Linked DNA regions of Macaca fascicularis. Each later gene encodes a partner of the first gene's protein in a complex. Links are inferred from orthologs where the notes say so. Each region holds a gene or a part of one and is shown in the gene's direction. Other genes may lie near its edges. The genes, in order: DRC4, DRC12 and DRC9.

Region 1 (6,077 bases):
CCAAGCTGTGCTCTTCGCTTGTGAAAAATGAATACCCTGTCTAGGCTATCCTGAGCTAACCCTCGTATTCTTGCCCTTTTTGCTGAAAGGAATTATTGTTAATATAGCTATTTAATTCAGGACTCTCATCCAGACTTCTGAAGCAAAAAGCCAATCAGCATGAAGCTGCTAGCATATTGGTTTTGTGAAGTAAGTGTTAAATAATAATAATAATTACCCCCACTGTGCTCTCCAGTGTCACCGTCTGACCACCTTATCCCAGGGGGAGGAGGCCCCCTCAGGCCAAGGGAGTCTGGCACAGTGACCAGCCAGACTTCACCAAGGCCTCAGGGCTTACTATAAATAAATCACGGCTTTGTACAAGCTGAGCCAGTGCAGTTCTTCCAACTGGCTGCTCCTCTCCAAGAACAATCAGGACTCGGGTGGGCAAGCAGGAAGTCTCTCATCACAGTGGTTCTCAGATTCCCACCACTGTGTGGGTGCCCGAGGCCTGAGCAAGCCCAGCTCATGTGGCAGCATGAGCTGGACGGGAAGACCTAAGTCCACCAAGCCTTTCATTTCTCACCCTTTGCCCCCAGCACAACTTTCTATGAGCATAGATTCTGGAATCTTCATCCAAGACACACAGGAGAACAAGATCTGCTGCAAGACCTTTTTTTTTTTTTTCGAGACATGGTCTCAGGTCTCACTCTGTTACCTAGGCTGGAGTGCAGTGGTGTGATCTTGGCTCACTGCAACCTCCACCTCCAGGGCTCAAATGATCGTCCCACCTCAACCTCCCAAGTAGATGACCACTTTTTTTTTTTTTTTTTTTTTTGAGACAGAGTCTTGCTCTGTCGCTCAGGCTGGAGTGCAGTGGCCGGATCTCAGCTCACTGCAAGCTCCGCCTCTCGGGTTTACGCCATTCTCCTGCCTCAGCCTCCTGAGTAGCTGGGACTACAGGCGCCCGCCACCTCGCCTGGCTAGTTTTTTTTTTTTTTTTAAGTAGAGACGGGGTTTCACTGTGTTAGCCAGGATGGTCTCGATCTCCTGACCTCGTGATCCACCTGTCTCGGCCTCCCAAAGTGCTGGGATTACAGGCTTGAGCCACCGCGCCCGGCCGATGACCACTTTTTAAGAAGATGTTAAAGATGACAGCTTACGGCCAGGTGTGGGGCTCACGTTGTGCTCCCAGCACTTTGGGAGGCTGAGGCAGGAGGATCGCTTGAGACCAGGAGTTTGAGACCATTCTGGGCCATAAAGCATGACCCCATCTCTATAAAAAACTTATTTAAAAAAGCTGGGTGTGGTGTCTCACACCTGTAGTCCCAGCTTCTCAGGAGGCTGAGGTGGGAGGATTGCTTGAGTCCAGGAGGTCGAGGCTGCAGTGAGTTGTGATCACAGCCTAGGCGACAGAAGGAGACCCTGTCTCCAAAAAAAAGAAAAGAAAAAAAGCAAGAAGCACCTGTTTATGACAAACTCAGCCATCTGGGTGACGTAGATGGTTGTATGTAGGTAACAGGGTGGTTTCAGGGATGGCAGGTTCACTTTAGAAATTGTAAAATGCCTAGCAGTCTTCAGAACAAGAGATTAGTTAGAAAAGGAAAGTGACAACTGTGTGTTTTCTGCAGGGCCTGTCGGAAAGTCTCTGGTTTCTCTTCATCCCTGAGGACTGGGGAGGAGGCCTTTTCAGGAAGAGCAGTTTATTTTTGTGAAAGGGATACTTCCTGATTTCAAACATTTGGAACTAAACTGGAACCTATTTTTCTTTCCTATTTCTACGTTTTTGAGGTGTGTGTAAAGCCACCAGCGCAGCAGCTGGGAGGACCCCTCAAAGCGGGGCGGGTGGGGTGAGTGAATCCCAGCGGGTAGAGTCTTTGCCCAGATTTGAATCTCATTTGGGTGATGTTTCAGAGCCCTGGGTGGCAGATGACCATTTATTCAACGGTCCTTCATTCACTCATCCAGCCACTCAGCACATCTTTACTGAGCACGTGCTCTGTGCTGTTCTAGGCGCTGAAGGATAGAAGTGAACGGTTCTCTCCTCATGGAGCTTAGGTTCCAGCAATAAGCAAAACATGTCCTGCAGCGAAAGGCTTCTGGGCTTCTGGGCTGCCGGCGAGATCTTCCCAACTTTCACTACCGGGTTCCTTCCTGACGCCCGTCTCTAGGGACGCACTCCCGCGGTTGGCAGGGCTGGGGCCCGGCGGAGTCTCGCGAGGATCTGGTGACTTCTCGCGGTAGCGCCCAGCGGTTGCCGGGAAACGGCGTGGCTTCCGGGGGGCGGGCGCGCTGGTCCGGGAGTCGCGGCTGGGCCTGTCCGCTGGCGTCATGGTGAGCAGGGGCTGGAGCGGGGCTGAGGTCCTCGGCAGGGGCCTGGAGACCTCGGGGCAGGGAGGCCTCGGTACACAGAGACCCTGGGAATGGGAGGACTGGAGCGCTGGGTTCCTGGAATTGAGAGCTCGGTGCTCTTGTGAGGGTCTCCGTGGGGCAAACTCAGGATGCTCCTGGCCCCGGGGCCTGCCCGCACTCGGAGCTGAGACCTGGGCTGTCCAGAGCCCTGTGCTCCCTGGGGTGGTCGTAGAAAGCCCAGGACCCAGGGTCCGCAGCGCATGGTCCCCAGAAGAGTGAAAATGCGTCAAGGGGACTCCCATCCTGGAATGGGAGACTCGGTCTGTTGGATCCCTGGGACCTAGGGTTTCACCTCACAGGGGCTTTGCAGCGCACCAGGGTGCCCATTGAATAGAGCCGGGGGCAGGGATTACCCTAAGCCCTTTGGTCTCCGGAATGGAGAGCCTGGGGCACACCAGAGTGGCTAGGGATCCCTCTACACCAAGGAGGCCTGGACAGGTCCAGTGCCCTTGGAGTGCCCAGGGCACAACCTTGGGATACAGGAACCACTGTTCCCTTAGAAAGCCTGGCAGGAGTCAGGCCCAGACCGAGAAGAGGAAGGCGGAGCTCGTGGCCTCATCAGCGCCATCTCTGTCTTTCTCGTGTAAAGGGCTCTCCCTTTGTGATACAGGAATTGTCAGTAACTCAATTTCTGGGCAGGTGTGGCAGGGTGGGTTTCAGCTGGTGGGGGAGGAAAGCTCTGGGAGCCCCACCAAGTCCCTGCAGCTGGCTGTGAAGGTCCCAAATGCTAAGTGATGCTGAACCTTCCTCTGCGGCCTTTAGGGCTTTCTGATGAGGTAGCCTTCTTGGAGTGGAGGGATTAGAAAGAGAGCAGTACATTACGAATTAAGATTTAAGTGGATGAGTTTTTTGGCCCAGGAATGGTCTTCTGAAAACAGACTGTGAAAGAAACTACCAAACTAGGCCAGGAGTCTTGGCGCCGTGACTCACACCTGTAATCCCAGCTCTTTGCGAGGCCGAGGCAGGCGGATCTTGAGGTCAAGAGATCGAGACCATCCTGGCCAACATGGTGAAATTCTGTATCTAGTAAAAATACAGAAATTAGCTGGGCGTGGTGGTGTGCACCTGTAGTTCCAGCTACTCGGGAGGCTGAGGCAGGAGAATGGCGTGAACCTGGGAGGCGGAGCTTGCAGTGAGCTGAGATGGCACCAGTGCACTCCAGCCTGGCAACAGAGCAAGACTACGTCTCTAACAAAACAAAAACAAAAACAAAGGCGGGGCATGGTAGCTGACACCCGTAAACCCAGCACGTTGGGAGGCCAAGGTGGGTGGATCACTTGAGGTCAGGAGTTGGAGACCAGCCTGGCCAACATGGTGAAACCCTGTCTCTACTAAAAATACAAAAAAAAAAAAAAAATTTCCTGAGTGTGGTGGTGTGCACCTGTAGTCCCAGCTACTTGGGAGGCTGAGGCAGGAGAATTGCTTGAACCTGGAAGGTAGAGGTTGTGCAGTGGGATTTTTAAGGAATCAGACTGATGCAGTTCAGGAGGATATTTATTAATTATTTAGGTGCACTGGCCCAGTCAGATTAACATCCAAAGGACTGAGCCCTGAACAAAGAGTCAAGTTACCTTTTTTTTTTTGAGATGGAGTCTCGCTCTGTTGCCCAGGCTGAAGTGCAGTGGCCGGATCTCAGCTCACTGCAAGCTCCGCACCATTCTCCTGCCTCAGCCTACCGAGTACCTGGGACTACAGGCGTACACCACCACGCCTGGCTAATTTTTTGTATTTTTTAAGTAGAGATGGGGTTTCACCGTGTTAGCCAGGATGGTCTCAATCTCGTGACCTTGTGATCCGCCCGCCTCGGCCTCCCAAAGTGCTGGGATTACAGGCACGAGCCACTGCACTCGGCCAAGTTACCTTTTAAGCGTTTCGTGTGGCAGACGGGAGATCTGTGCAGGGGGAAGCATACTACAGACGCAAGAAGCAAAGACAGTTGTTCAGTTGAAACGTACGTTACATCATTTCTTACTTTTTAAGGAAAAACATGTTTTGCGACGAGTTTATCTGCCTAGTGACCTTGCAGCTGCGCTAGAGAAACAGGGTCTTCACAATGCCTGGGAAGGGAGGAGAGATCAGGCTCACTACCACCAAAAAACAGGCAGTTACTTTTTTTTCTTTTTTTTAATTTATTTATTTATTTATTTTTTGAGACGGAGTCTCGCTCTCTCTCCCGGGCTGGAGTGCAGTGGCCGGATCTCAGCTCACTGCAAGCTCCGCCTCCCGGGTTCCCGCCATTCTCCTGCCTCAGCCTCCCGAGTAGCTGGGACTACAGGCGCCCGCCACCTCGCCCGGCTAGTTTTTTGTATTTTTTAGTAGAGACGGGGTTTCACCGTGTTGGCCAGGATGGTCTCGATCTCCTGACCTCGTGATCCGCCCGTCTCGGCCTCCCAAAGTGCTGGGATTACAGGCTTGAGCCACCGCGCCCAGCCGACAGGCAGTTACTTTTTAAAGCACTCCAGCTCTTTCTCTTTCAGGGAGATTGGGTTTTCTTACATACAACTGAGTTTCTGCTTACACACTTTTTAATTTCTTTTAATTCCTGTTCCAGTTGCAGTGAGCCAGGATTGTGCCACTGCACTCCAACCTGGGTGACAGAGCAAGACTTCATCTCAAAACAAACAAACAAACAAACAAAAAAAACCACTACCGGCCGGGCGCGGTGGCTCAAGCCTGTAATCCCAGCACTTTGGGAGGCCGAGAGGGCGGATCACGAGGTCAGGAGATCGAGACCATCCTGGCGAACACGGTGAAACCCCGTCTCTACTAAAAAAATACAAAAAACTAGCCGGGCGAGGCGGCGGGCGCCTGTAGTCCCAGCTACTCGGGAGGCTGAGGCAGGAGAATGGCGTAAACCCGGGAGGCGGAGCTTGCAGTGAGCTGAGATCCGGCCACTGCACTCCAGCCCGGGCGACAGAGCCAGACTCCGTCTCAAAAAAAAAAAAAAAAAAAAAAAAAAAACCACTACCAAACTACTTCTATTTCTATTAGGTTGTGGGAATATGGGCCTCGGTCTGTTGGATCCTTGGACCAAGGAATATGGATGATAATTTTTCTGTTTTCTTCTCATCAGTGTTTTCTAAAATTTCCACATAATATTTTCTTTTTCTTTCTCTCTCTCTTCTTTCCTTCCTTCCTTCCTTCCCTTTCCTTCCTTCCTTCCCTTTCCTTCCTTCCTTCCCTCCTTCCTTCCTTCCCTTTCCTTCCTTCCTTCCCTCCTTCCTTCCTTCCCTTTCCTTCCTTCCTTCCCTCCTTCCTTCCTTCCCTCCTTCCTTCCTTCCTTCCTTCGTTCCTTCCTTCGTTCCTTCCTTCGTTCCTTCCTTCCTTCCTTCCTTCCTTCCTTCCTTCCTTCGTTCCTTCCTTCGTTCCTTCCTTCCTTCCTTCCTTCCTTCCTTCCTTCCTTCCTTCCTTCGTTCCTTCCTTCGTTCCTTCCTTCGTTCCTTCGTTCCTTCCTTCCTTCCTTCCTTCCTTCCTTCCTTCCTTTGTTCCTTCCTTCCTTCCTTCTTTCCTTCTTCTTTCCTTCTTTCTTGTCTCGCTCTGTCGCCCAGGCTGGAGTGCAGTGACGCGATCTTGGCTCACTGCAAGCTCTGCCTGCTGGGTTCACGCCATTCTCCTGCCTCGGCCTCGCGAGAAGATGGGACTGCAGGTGCCCACCACCACGCCTGGCTAATTTTTTTGTGTTTTTA
Region 2 (6,077 bases), on another chromosome or scaffold:
GAAGATCACCAGAGCCTGGAGAGGCTGAGGCTGCAGTGAGCCGTGATCATGCCACTGCACTCCAGCCTGGGTGACAGAGAGAGACACTGAGAAAAAAAAAATGCCAGGCGCGGTGGCTCACGCCTGTAATCCCAGAATTTTGGGAGGCCGAGGCGGGTGGATCACGAGGTCAGGAGATCGAGTCCATCCTGGCTAACACAGTGAAACCCCATCTCTACTAAAAATACAAAAAAATTAGCGGGGCGTGGTGGTGGATGCCTGCAGTCGCAGCATGAACCCGGGAGGTGGAGCTTGCAGTGAGCCGAGATCGTGCCACTGCACTCCAGCCTGGGCAACAGAGCGAGACGCTGTCTCAAAACAAAAACAAAAACAAAACAAACAAACAAAAAACCTAAAGAAACGGTCTGCAGGTCCCCTAATCCAAAAGGAGAAAAGCCCTGAAGTGTCTGCTGTTTTCACTCTAACCAGTATGGTGCCCAGAGATCCAAGTGGCAGATAGATGGCAAGCCTCAGGATAGCACAGAGCTGCAGGGAGAGTGAAGGCTGCCTGACAAGGGAGGGCCACCTGTCATACTCTCTCCCCCACATTAATTATTCCAGCCACTCCTGGCTCCAGCAGGACACTAAGAAGTATCCCCAAAGGGAGTCACCCCCAGTATTGCCCAGTAAATAATTTAAAAGCAAAAATGTGGGAAACTCAGGAGAAGGTCAAACAAGTCCACTAGAGGGAGCCCCAACCAACTCTATGCTGCAGGGAGCCTCACAAAGCAATGTCTCAACACCTGTCTGAAAATCAACCACACAAGGGAATGGGGAAATGTAGCAATAGATTAAGTAACTAGGAGAGAAGATAGCCATGTAAACACCTAGCTAAAACACAGGCTTTTCAAGAGCTACAAAATCAAACATTTAAAGATCAGGAAACTGATGCTGAGCAAAGTCAAATGGCTTGCCTCAGTTTACATATCCACAGTTGGGACTCAAACTCAAATGTCTTGTCTCTAACCTGAGCACTTTCCTGCACACTTGCATCCCTCTAGGTCAGTACCCTAGAGTCCATGGGTCTGCTGTTCCTTTGTGTCTCATTTCTCTGAAGTGGGAAACGCCCTCGACTACCTATTCCTGTACTTATTACCCTCATTCCACAGTGTACTGAAGAGGATCTTCAGTGGTTTGGGGTTTTTGTTTGTTTGTTTGTTTGTTTGTTTGAGACAGGGTCTCCCTCTGTCATCCAGGCTGGAGTGCAGTGGTGCAATCATAGCTCACTGCTGCCTCAACCTCCCAGGCTCAAGTGGTTCTCCTGCTTCAGCCTCCCGAGTAGCTGAGACTAACAGGTGTGCACCACCCTGCCAGGCTAATTTTTTAATTTTTTGTAGAAATGAGGTCTCACTGTGTTGTCCAGGCTGGTCTTGAACTCCTGGCCTCAAGTAATCCTCCTGCCTCAGCTTCTGAAAATGTTGGGATTATAGGCATGAGCCACCGCCCCCAGCTTAGATCTTCAGTTTTAAACCTACTAATGTCATTTTGCTGATGGGACCTCGGGATGTCAATTGTCCAACATGGCTACTGTCAGTCCTTTTCCTCTGTATCAGCACAACATATTATCTCAGATGTGTACATCTGAATTTGGAAGTCTCCAAATTGCAGGCCATGTCTACGTGGCAATGAATCATAACCAATCGGCCTCCAAAGCCCTTTCTTTTCAAACTATACTTAGGGTTTTGGGATAAGGAAAGAACTGACCCTTTGAGACCTTGATATTTTAAGCTTTGTGAGCTGATTTAGCCCATTCCACCTTCCTACCAACTCCATGTTTCCCAGTTGCCTGGACAACATACAGCCTCCCGAAACCCAACCTTCCAGCCCTCAGTCCTGCCCTCAAGAGAAATTTGCCACCAAGGATTGGCTCCCAGGACCCAGGCCCCGCCTCAGGCTCCTCGCTAGTTGGGCCTTCTCTCTGCCACTCCCCACGGGTGGGTCACTCCACAGGGAGCCCCAACACTGGCAGGAGAGGATCCTACAGGTAGGAAGAGGGGGTTGAGGATGATGGGAAGAGGGAGGGGAGCAGGTACAGGGATTTATCTAAAAGAGAGTTGTGAGGAGTGACTTCCGTACAGTCAGCCTGGTTGAGAGAAAAAACTTCACCCTCCCCGTTGACCCCAACCCTGCCTGAGGTTCCAAAGAGACTGTGAACTGACTTTTCTGAAGAGTATGAGATGCAAATTTGGAGTAGAACCAGGAGACTCCCCTGAGACTCCTGATTCAGTCAGGAAAGCATCCCTGTGTCCAGACCTAAACATAAGGTCCCCTCCTTCTCCCAGGACAGCAAGGAGATGCCACTTAAAAACAAAGAAAAAGGGAAGAAATCTGGGGCGCAGAAGAAAAAGAACTGGGGTGAGTCATGGTGGGTGGAGGTGCCCCCTGCTTCTCCATGTTCTGGCATGAAGACCACGCAGAGCTCCTCCAGAGAGAATTCAGCCTTCTACATGACAGGATGGAACTCTCTTGACCTTCCTCTTTCGTGTCCTTGAAGTCAGATGCAGGGAGCTGAGGAAGTGGGGAAATGGTCACTCACGCTGTCCTTTAAGCACCATCTAGCTTTGTGCCTTCCTAATATATTTGTCATGTGTATTTTGCATATCTGTTATGTGCTGGTTGGTAAGGACACAGTGCTGACTTCAGTAGACTCTGCCACCATGGATCCCTCATTTAGTGGTCCTCAGGTCTCCTGTGGCAAAAGTGCAGGGTGTGGGGCGAGGACGCAAGGAGAGTGAGGAATGCTGAGATCACGAAGAGCTGAGGCTCTGCCACTTGCCACAGCAGGTGCAGATGTGGAGGCTGAGTCCAGGCACAGGCTGGTGGTGCTGGAGAAGGAGCTGCTCCGAGACCACTTGGGTAAGGAGGGTAGAAGTTGGCATGGGGGTGGGCAACAGGGCAAGTGAAATGGGGCATTTCTGTATCCTGGGGGATTGGAGAGTTGGAGATACAGTGGGGGGCTAAGTTGAACCCTAACCATCCCCTAGTGGAAAAAGACAATGAGAGAGGGGTGGGCAGTGAGAGTTGATAAAGGAAGCTTTTTTTTTTTTTAGACAGAATCTTGCTCTATTGCCCAGGCTGGACTGCAGTGGTGTGATCATAGCTCACTGTAATCTCAAACTCCTGGACCCCAACAATCTTCCCACCTCAGCTTCACGAGTAGCTGGTGCACACCACCCTACCTAGCTACTTTATTTATTTATTTATTTATTTTTCTTTTTTAAAATTTATTTTATTTTATTATTTCATTTTATTTTATTTTACTATCTTTTTTTTTAAGACAGAGTCCTGTGCTCTGTTGCCCAGGCTGGAGTGCAGTGGCGCGATCTTGGCTCACTGCAACCTCTGCCTCCCAGGCTCAAGTGATTCCCCTGCCTCGGCCTCCCAAGTAGCTGGGATTACAGGCACACAGCCACCACACCCGGCTAATTTTTGTATTCTTATTAGAGACAGGTTTTCACCATGTTGGCCAAGCTGGTCTCGAACTCTTGACCTCATGATCCTCCCACCTTGGCCTCCCAAAGTGCTGGGATTACAGGCATGAGCCACTGCGCCTGGCCCTATTTATTTTTCTTATAGAGACAAGGTCTCACTCTGTTGCCCAGGCAGGTCTCAAACTCCTGGCCTCAAGCAATTCTCCCACCTAAGCCCCCCAAAATATTGGGATTACAGGCATGAGCCACCATGCCGGGCTATCCGGAAAGCTATTTTGTATAGGCAGAACATGGAGAGAGTCTTTACTTCTTAATAATGAGGAGCCTGTGAGACTCTAGGGATAAAAAACAAAAACAACAAAACCCAGAGAGAGAATAAGAGGCTGGACGCCCCGCCACCAGATTTCTAGAGACGGGCAAAATTCATCAAGTTCATGGGGGCTGATTTAGCGGGCCCCAGCCAGTCCTGACAGTGGCTCTGGGACTGCTCACAGCTGTACGGAGGGATGAAGCCCGTCGAGCCAAGGCTTCCGAAGACCAGCTGAAGCAGAGGCTGCAAAGGGTGGAGGCTGAGCTGGAAGGGGCCCGAAGTGAAGGGAAGGCCATATATGCAGGTGTGTGGTCTGTTGAGCAGGTGGGCAGGAGACAGGGGCCTGGAGGAAGACAACCAGCAGGGTCAGATGATGCAAGGAAGGGAAACAAGGAGGGCTTCCAACTGCCAGGCCTGGTCTTGGTCTTCCCCGAACAGTACAAATCAGGCAGGATCCTGCAGGAATCAAAGGCAGGTAGGTTCCTGGGATCCCAGGCAGGGGCCTGCCAGGATGCCTGGTGCCATGTGCTTGATGCTGTGTAGGATACACATGCAGTCATAGCCATCACCTCAACCATCCTATGGGAGGGGAGAAGGACTAGCATCCCCATCCAAAGCTGGACGGTGGGGGAGGTGGGTTGGGCTTCCTTTCCCTTCCTCAGGTTTTCATGGTCTCTAGCTTCTCAGAATCACAAAAAGAACCAAGAAGACCATGGGCCGGGAGTGGTGGCTCACACCTGTAATCCCAGCACTTTGGGAGGCCGAGGCGGGCGGATCACGAGGTCAGGAGATCGAGACCATCCTGGCTAACATGGTGAAACTCCGTCTCTACTAAAAATGCAAAAAATTAGCCGGGTGTGGTGGCAGGTGCCTGTAGTCCCAGCTACTCGGGAGACTGAGGCAGGAGAAGGGGGTGAACCCGGGAGGCGGAGCTTGCAGTGAGCCAAGATCGCACCACTGCACTCCAGCCTGGGCGACAGAGCGAGACCCCGTCTCAAAAAAAAAAAAAAGAAAAAGAAAAAGAAGAACCAAGAAGGCCTTTGTGCTCCTGTTCCACTAGACCAAGTAGAGTCTTCCCCACCCACAACTTCATTTCCTTTCTCCATCGCTCCATCTCCGACCTGGGTCCCTGGCGGCCTACTGCCCCCACCCCAGAGATGAGTCGCCAGTGCCATGCCCTGCAGGAGGATATGCAATCCCGCAGCAAGCAGCTGGAGGAAGAAGTCAAGGGCCTTCGGGGGCAGCTAGGTAGGTTTCCCCATCCCCCAAGCCCCTTGTCTCCAAGAGTTGCAGCAAGGGCCAGCATGAAGGGGCAGACTTCAAAGTCTCTGCTCCAGAAAGCTGCCACCTGGGCTCTGGGATCACTTTCCCCACTTTCACTGACCCTCCACCACCGAGGACTGGAGCAGAGGGTTCGGGATGCCAAGAATCTCTGTTGTAAGTAAAGAAGAGGTGCCAGGCGCAGTGGCTCAGGCCTGTAATCCCAGCACTATGGGAGGCCAAGGCGGGCGGATCGCCTGAGGTCAGGAGTTCGAGAACAGCCTGGCCAAATGGTGAAACCCTGTCTCTACTAAAAATATAAAAATTAGCCGGATGTGGTGGCGCACACCTGTAATCCCAGCTACTCGGGAGGCTGAGGCAGGAGAATTGCTTGAATCCGGGAGGCAGAGGTTGCAGTGAGCCGAGATCGCGCCATTGCACTCCAGCCTGGGCGACAGAGCAACTCTGTCTCAAAAAAATAAATAAAAATAAAAAAGAAGAGGTAGGCGTCACACCCCATTTCCTCCTCTCCAAGTCCAGCCCTACCTAACTCCCCACCACTGCCATGTCTCTTGTGAGCAAAACATATTCCCTTTTAGTTTAGCTAATTTCTACAACGAAACTAAGGGAAAATGTTTGACTTATTTACTTACAAGACCTAGCACCCGGTAGGTCCTAAATAACTGTTCACTAAATAAATGAATAAACACTCCCAATAAGCAAAAATATTTTTAAAAACTAGGAAGCCTTTGCTTCTCTTCTCTTGCCTCCTGCTTACAAAATAATGTTGAAATATCTCAGCATGACACATGAGGTCTTGCACAATTTTGGTCCCAAAGTGTTCATACCTTAAAAATGCCTTCAGCCAGGCTCAGTGGCTCACCTCTGTAATCCCAGCACTTTGGGAGGCCAAGGCGAGAGGATTGCTTGAGGCCAGGAGTTCGAGACCAGCCTGGCCAATATGGTGAAATGCCGTCTCTACTAAAATTACAAAAATTAGCCGGGCATGGTGGCATGTGCCTGTAATCTCAGATACT
Region 3 (5,977 bases), on another chromosome or scaffold:
ATGTTACCTCCCTGACTAAAAGCTTTCCAAGGATTCCCACCACAGTTGGAATAAAACCTGAATTTCTCAGTCAGGCGTCCGAGGTCCTGTGTGGTGCCCTTACCTACCTCCAGCCTCATCCTGTCGTCCCCTCAACCCTCACTAGGCTAGAGCCTCCGGAGTTTTCTTTCCATTCCTGGAATGTATTCAGGTCTTGATGGCTTCAGGATTTGGGCATATACTTTTTCTTATTTTTTTTTTTAGAGTTCCCTTAACCCTATTTTTCTATTCTTTTTTCCTTTTTTCTTCTTCTTTTTCTTTTCTTTCTTTTTTGAGACAGAGTCTCATTCTGTCACCCAGGCTGGAGTGCAGTGGCGCGGTCTCAGCTCACTTCAACCCCCACCTCCCGGGTTCAAGCGATTCTTCTGCCTCAGCCTCCCGCGTAGCTGGGATTACAGGCACACGCCAGCATGCCCAGCTATTTTTCATATTTTTAGTAGAGATGGGGTTTCACCATGTTGGCCAAGCTGGTCTCAAACTACTGACCTAAGGTGATGCCCCTGCCTCAGCCTCCCAAAGTGCTGGGATTACAGGCGTGAGTCCCGGTGCCTGGCCAAGCCTGTTTTTCATGGGGTGGGCTTACGTATCCTTCAGGTATTGAATGAACCATCGCTTCCTTGAGAGAGTCCCTCTCAGACCTTCCAGAGTCTAATGTACCTCGAATGAACCATCACTTTCTGGAGAGAGTTCCTCTCAGGCCTTCCAGAGTCTAATGTACCTCGAATGAACCATCACTTTCTGGAGAGAGTTCCTCTCAGGCCTTCCAGAGTCTAATGTACCTCGAATGAACCATCACTTTCTGGAGAGAGTTCCTCTCAGGCCTTCCAGAGTCTAATGTACCTCGAATGAACTATCGCTTTCCCAAGAGTCCCTCTCAGACCTTCCAGAGTCTAATGTACATCGAATGAACCATCACTTTCCCGAGAGAGTCCCTCTCAGGCCTTCCAGAGTCGAATGGACTCCTCCCTTGTTATTTCCTCCCACAGCCTGTCAAGCTTTCCTTTTCTATCATTTTGCACAATTTTTGAAAGTTTACACATGTGTTTGTCTCTTTTTAACCACCTCTCTTCTATTAGACTGTAAGCTCTATGAGGGCAGGGAATATGTCTGTTTAGATCTCCATGATTTTCCTAGAGCCTAGCTCTAGGAAGAGCCTGGTGCTGAATAAATATTCAGCCTGGTGCTGAATAAATATTTTTCTTAATGACTATTGAGTCCTTGCAATTGCCAAGCACTTGGTGACCTGCAAAAAGAAAGCGTTTTCACACGTGTTCTCAATGAAACCTAATAATCTCTGAGATACTTCAGTCAGGGTGGGTGTTGTGTGTGTGTGTGTGTGTGTGTGTTTTATAGAAAGTAAAAAAGTTGGAGATTTGACTAGGCCAAGTTCACACAGCTGGAGGCCTGGGTGGGAAGTCAGTTCTTTTCATCATTTTGACCAGTGTTCTTCCTACCAAAATGAGAAATCTGTGTGGGAAATATGGACATACCAGTAATGTGCCTGGGAACTAATCTCCGCCCTGATTCGCCCTGATTCTTCGAACTGCTGTATTACTCACTTTCCTCTCTTCATGATTGTTGGCTAAATTTCCCGTTGTGTGACAGCGGAAAACTAGTTCCCGTTCCTTATTGATTTACACTTATAAAAGGGAACCTTAAGCCACTGGCTGAACTGAATGGCGGTAGAATGTATTTTCAATTTAGAAACCTGGTCTTTCCATTGCAGAGTCAGAATGAATATATTGCTAACCTCAAGGACCAACTGCAAGAGATGAAAGCAAAATCCAACTTGGAGAATCGCTACATGAAAACCAATACTGAGCTGCAGATTGCCCAGACCCAGAGAAAGTGTAACAGAACAGAGGAAGTCTTGCTGGAAGAGATTGAGGTAATCCCTGGGACATTAGTGAAGAACCCAGGAGATGGCATTTGAGCTGTCACTCCTGATCCTGTCTCAGCTAACAAAGGAGGGAGATGAAGATTTCCTCCATCTCTCTCGGCAACAGCCCCTCCACTTGAGGTTGAAAATGGAAGCCTAAATGAGGATACACATGTTCGCAAGCGGAGATTCCAACGGGCTGTAGCCTCCTTCTCCTGCCTCATAATGACTTTGAAAATTGGCTGTACTTTCTCTCCTCGGTCACTTCTTATTTTATCAAACCAATCGCCATTTCTCTAATTATAGGGAGAGGGCAAAACAAGATCCTTAGTTATGGCAGGATTTTGCTGCTGTTTGTTTTATCTAGCCAGTACTTTTCACTCCTCCAGTAAGAAATACAGCATCTTGAGAGGTGAACTTCATTCAAACCTGAATTTATGGAGATGAGAAGTCATGGTGAAAAATATCAGGAGGAAGAAAGTGGTAGATCTTCTTTGAGGGGAATGCGAAATGGCGCGCGCGCGCGCACACACACACACACACACACACACACACACACACACACACTGCACACACATACACAAAGCCAGGCACTAGTCCCAGCTAATTGGAAGGGAGGCAGGAGGATCCTTGAGTTTGAAGCCAGCCTGGGCAACATAGGGAGACTCCCTTCTCTCTCTCTCTCTCTCTCTCTCTCTCTCTCTGTCTCACACACACACACACACACACACACACACACACACACACACACACGCAAAGAGCAGCAGGCAGATGGGAAGACGGAAGAAGGAACAAACGTCCTTAGACCATGGAATTTGTGTGTGGGAGGACTCCTTGCTCTGAGACTAACGTGGCTTAAGGCCACGACAACAGTCTTCCTGGCACTCTGGAATTTCCCTTTTTTAGGCCCCACAGCCTTGTGCCCTTGGCGCACCGTTTCTCTCCTTCAATGGGCACCTCTTTTCAATTCACGGGATTGCGCACCTTTCGTTAGGGACACTAACACAGTCCAGACAGTGCCGCGTCATGTGTCTCTGCGGTGTTTGTGAACAGGAATTGCACGAAACTGAATTCCCGGCATCCCAGCTGGTAAAGGAAACCTGAGCTGCCGACCAAGCTGCTCCTCTAATCTTGAGAACTTCTGATTCACAGCCCTGCAGGGAAGACGTGCTGATGTCTGATTATTGTTCTTACAGAAACTCAGGATGAAAACCGAAGAAGAGGCCCGGATTCATATGGACATTGAAATGTTCCTTAGAAAGCAGCAGCAGGTGGGTCACCAAAACTTTTCTGTGCTTTGAGTCTTTTTGTACTCTGCTCATACTGAGGAAACAAAAAAAATATTTTGAAGAAAAACCAGCCATCATTCTTTCAGCCTAATGAGCTTGAGCTCACATGTTATTTCAGGGTTGTGCATCTGAATAGATATCTTATATAGTTACAATCTGAGAGAGTACAAGTAAAATTTTGTTTTCCGCTTTTATCATTGAGCTTAGATAAGAAATTTTTTGATTCCTATATTGCTGTATACTCATAATTTTTAAATTATGACTTAATTTATGACAAAATTTAGTAAGTCAAATTATGACTTAAAAATTTATGGGCCGGGCACAGTGGCTCACGCCTGTAATCTCAGCACTTTGGGAGTCTGAAGCGGGTGGATCACCTGAGGTCAGGAGTTCGGGACCCGCCTGGCCAACATGGTGAAACCCCCTCTCTATTAAAAATACAACAATTAGCCAGGCGTGGTGACAGGCACCTGTAATCCCAGCTACTCAGGAAGCTGAGGTGGGAGAATTGCTTGAACCTGGGAGGCAGAGGCTGCAGTGAGCTGAGATTGTGCCACTGTACTCCAGCTGGGCAACAGAGCAAGACCCCGCCTCAAAAAAAAAGACATAATTTTAAAATTAATTATTTTTAATTATGACTATATTAAAATGTTTTCCCATTAGTATAGTGGCCAATAAATAAAAAAGAAAAATAAAGGCCAGGTGCAGTGGCTCACGCCTGTAATCTCAGCACTTTGAGAGGCCGAGGCCGGCGGATCACCTGAGGTCAGGAGTTCTAGACCAGCCAGGTCAACATGATGAAACCCCATCTCTACTAAAAATACAAAAATTAGCCGGGCGTGGTGATGCAGCCCTGTAATCCCAGCTATTCGGGAGGCTGAGGCAGAAGAATCGTTTGAACCTGGGAGGCAGAGCTTGCAGTGAGCCGAGATCACACCACTCACTCCCGCCTGGGTGACAGAGCGAGACTCTGTCTCTAAAAAAAAAAAAAAAAAAGATTTACTAATTTTTTACGTTATAAAAATAACATTCCCAGTTGAGTGAGGATTTTTAAAATGACTCATTGCTTTTCATTTTTTATGTTATTACAGTTTCTTTATAAAATAATTGAAAATCGTTGTTTAATGTTCCATTGAATGGTTGTGCCATAGTTTGTTACAAATTTTTTTTTTTAATATTTAGGTTGTTTCCAAAGTTTTATTATTATAAATAATGCACTTATTAAAGCTTAGCCCAAAGAACTATTTTTCTTCATGGCAACTATTTACTAAAAGTAAATCTCAATCATAAGATGATTATTTCAGAGACTGGTATTTTGTGACTTTTGATAAACATTGCCGACTCTCTAACCTGTGCTGCCGCTAGCAGTGTTGCAGGCAGTCATTTCAAGGTCTCTTCAACATTAGTAGCCATTTTAAATATTTTTCAAAGTCTGCTAATTTAATGAGTTGTTTTGTTTTTTTTTGTTTTTTGGTTTTTTTTGCTTATTAATAGAAGTGAACATAACATTTTTCCATGTTTACTCAATTTATTTCTTCTTATGTGAAATATATATGACAGAAGTGGTTTTAAAAGCATTTTCAATACTAATAACCAAGCTGGGTCTATAATATATCTAAGGTTAGAAGTATGTCTAAGTGTAGCTGGAGTCTTTCTTTACTTTGTTTTTTGGGGGTTTTTTTGAGATGCAGTCTTGCTTTACCATCCAGGCTGGAGTGCAGTGGCATGATCTCGGCTCACTGCAACCTCCGCCTCCTGGGTTCAAGCGATTCTCCTGCCTCAGCCTCCCGAGTAGCTGGGACTACAGGTGCCTGTCACCACGCCTGGCTAATTTTTGTATTTTTAGTAGAGACGGGGTTTCACCATGTTGGCCAGGCTGGTCTAGAACTCCTGACCTCAGGTAATCCACCTGCCTCAGCCTCCCAAAGTGCTGGGATTACAGGCGTGAGCCACCGCGCCAGCCACCGCGCCCAGCCCCAGCTAGAGTCTTTCAAAATATCCCTGTTGGATGAACAAAGAGAAAATTTTCCAGCTTAGTTATAATACAGCTTGCTTTTTGGAAAAGCTAATGAGTTTTCAGTCAACGATTCCAAATGTGTGGTTAAGGAGAATTTGTAGATGCTATCTTGCAGGTCTTTACTGAAAAAAATATCTGGTAGGCTATTAGAATTAGGGTTCTGTAGCCCTGCAGTTTCAGAACTATGTATCATGTTACCTGTTTCAAGTGTGAGATACCTGGCAGGTGTTGGATATTTATCAGTGAGTTGTTGGATAAATGGATCACGAAGGGATGACGCCAGAGTTTCTCAGATCTTCAGCCCAATAACACAAGCAATACATAAGTATGTATTTTTTTATTTTTTATTTTTTAGGGGCAGGGTCTCTCTGTTTCCCAGCCTTCAGTGCAGTGGTGCCATCATAGCTCACTGCAGCCTCAAACTCCTGGGCCCAAGTGATCCTCCCACCTCAGTCTTCTGAGTAGCTGGGACTACAGCTGTGCACCACCATGTCCAGCTACAATGTAAGACAGAAATATATAAATTAAAGAAAGTGAAAGCCCTCTTAAATTACTCCCCTTTCTGAAGGGAAGTTTCTTCCACATGTATTTCTTTTCATATACTTATACCTCAAAACATACATATTTTCAGTGGTTTTCTGTTTTGTTTTGTTTTTTAAGAGGAGTCTCGCTCTGTCGCCCAGGCTGGAGTGCAGTGGTGCGATCTTGGCTCACTGCAACCTCCGTCTCCTGGGTTCAAGTGATACTCCTGCC

What was found.
Region 2: DRC4 (region 1) and DRC12 share a complex: the UniProt entries of both Homo sapiens proteins name them as parts of the nexin-dynein regulatory complex. The link is inferred for Macaca fascicularis from reciprocal best matches to the Homo sapiens genes DRC4 and DRC12.
Region 3: DRC4 (region 1) and DRC9 share a complex: the UniProt entries of both Homo sapiens proteins name them as parts of the nexin-dynein regulatory complex. The link is inferred for Macaca fascicularis from reciprocal best matches to the Homo sapiens genes DRC4 and DRC9.

Annotation. Positions count from the first base shown.
Region 1 is NC_088394.1:85,966,164-85,972,240, forward strand, and holds the start of DRC4 (dynein regulatory complex subunit 4), read left to right. Parts: upstream 1-2,279; 5' UTR 2,280-2,310; coding exon 2,311-2,313; intron 2,314-6,077. UniProt on the Homo sapiens protein: Component of the nexin-dynein regulatory complex (N-DRC), a key regulator of ciliary/flagellar motility which maintains the alignment and integrity of the distal axoneme and regulates microtubule sliding in motile axonemes.
Region 2 is NC_088388.1:118,065,141-118,071,217, reverse strand, and holds the start of DRC12 (dynein regulatory complex protein 12), read left to right. Parts: upstream 1-1,980; 5' UTR 1,981-2,023; intron 2,024-2,321; 5' UTR 2,322-2,333; coding exon 2,334-2,394; intron 2,395-2,820; coding exon 2,821-2,895; intron 2,896-3,964; coding exon 3,965-4,084; intron 4,085-4,935; coding exon 4,936-5,028; intron 5,029-6,077. UniProt on the Homo sapiens protein: Component of the nexin-dynein regulatory complex (N-DRC), a key regulator of ciliary/flagellar motility which maintains the alignment and integrity of the distal axoneme and regulates microtubule sliding in motile axonemes.
Region 3 is NC_088376.1:926,081-932,057, forward strand, and holds part of DRC9 (dynein regulatory complex protein 9), read left to right. Parts: intron 1-1,765; coding exon 1,766-1,927; intron 1,928-3,114; coding exon 3,115-3,189; intron 3,190-5,977. UniProt on the Homo sapiens protein: Component of the nexin-dynein regulatory complex (N-DRC), a key regulator of ciliary/flagellar motility which maintains the alignment and integrity of the distal axoneme and regulates microtubule sliding in motile axonemes.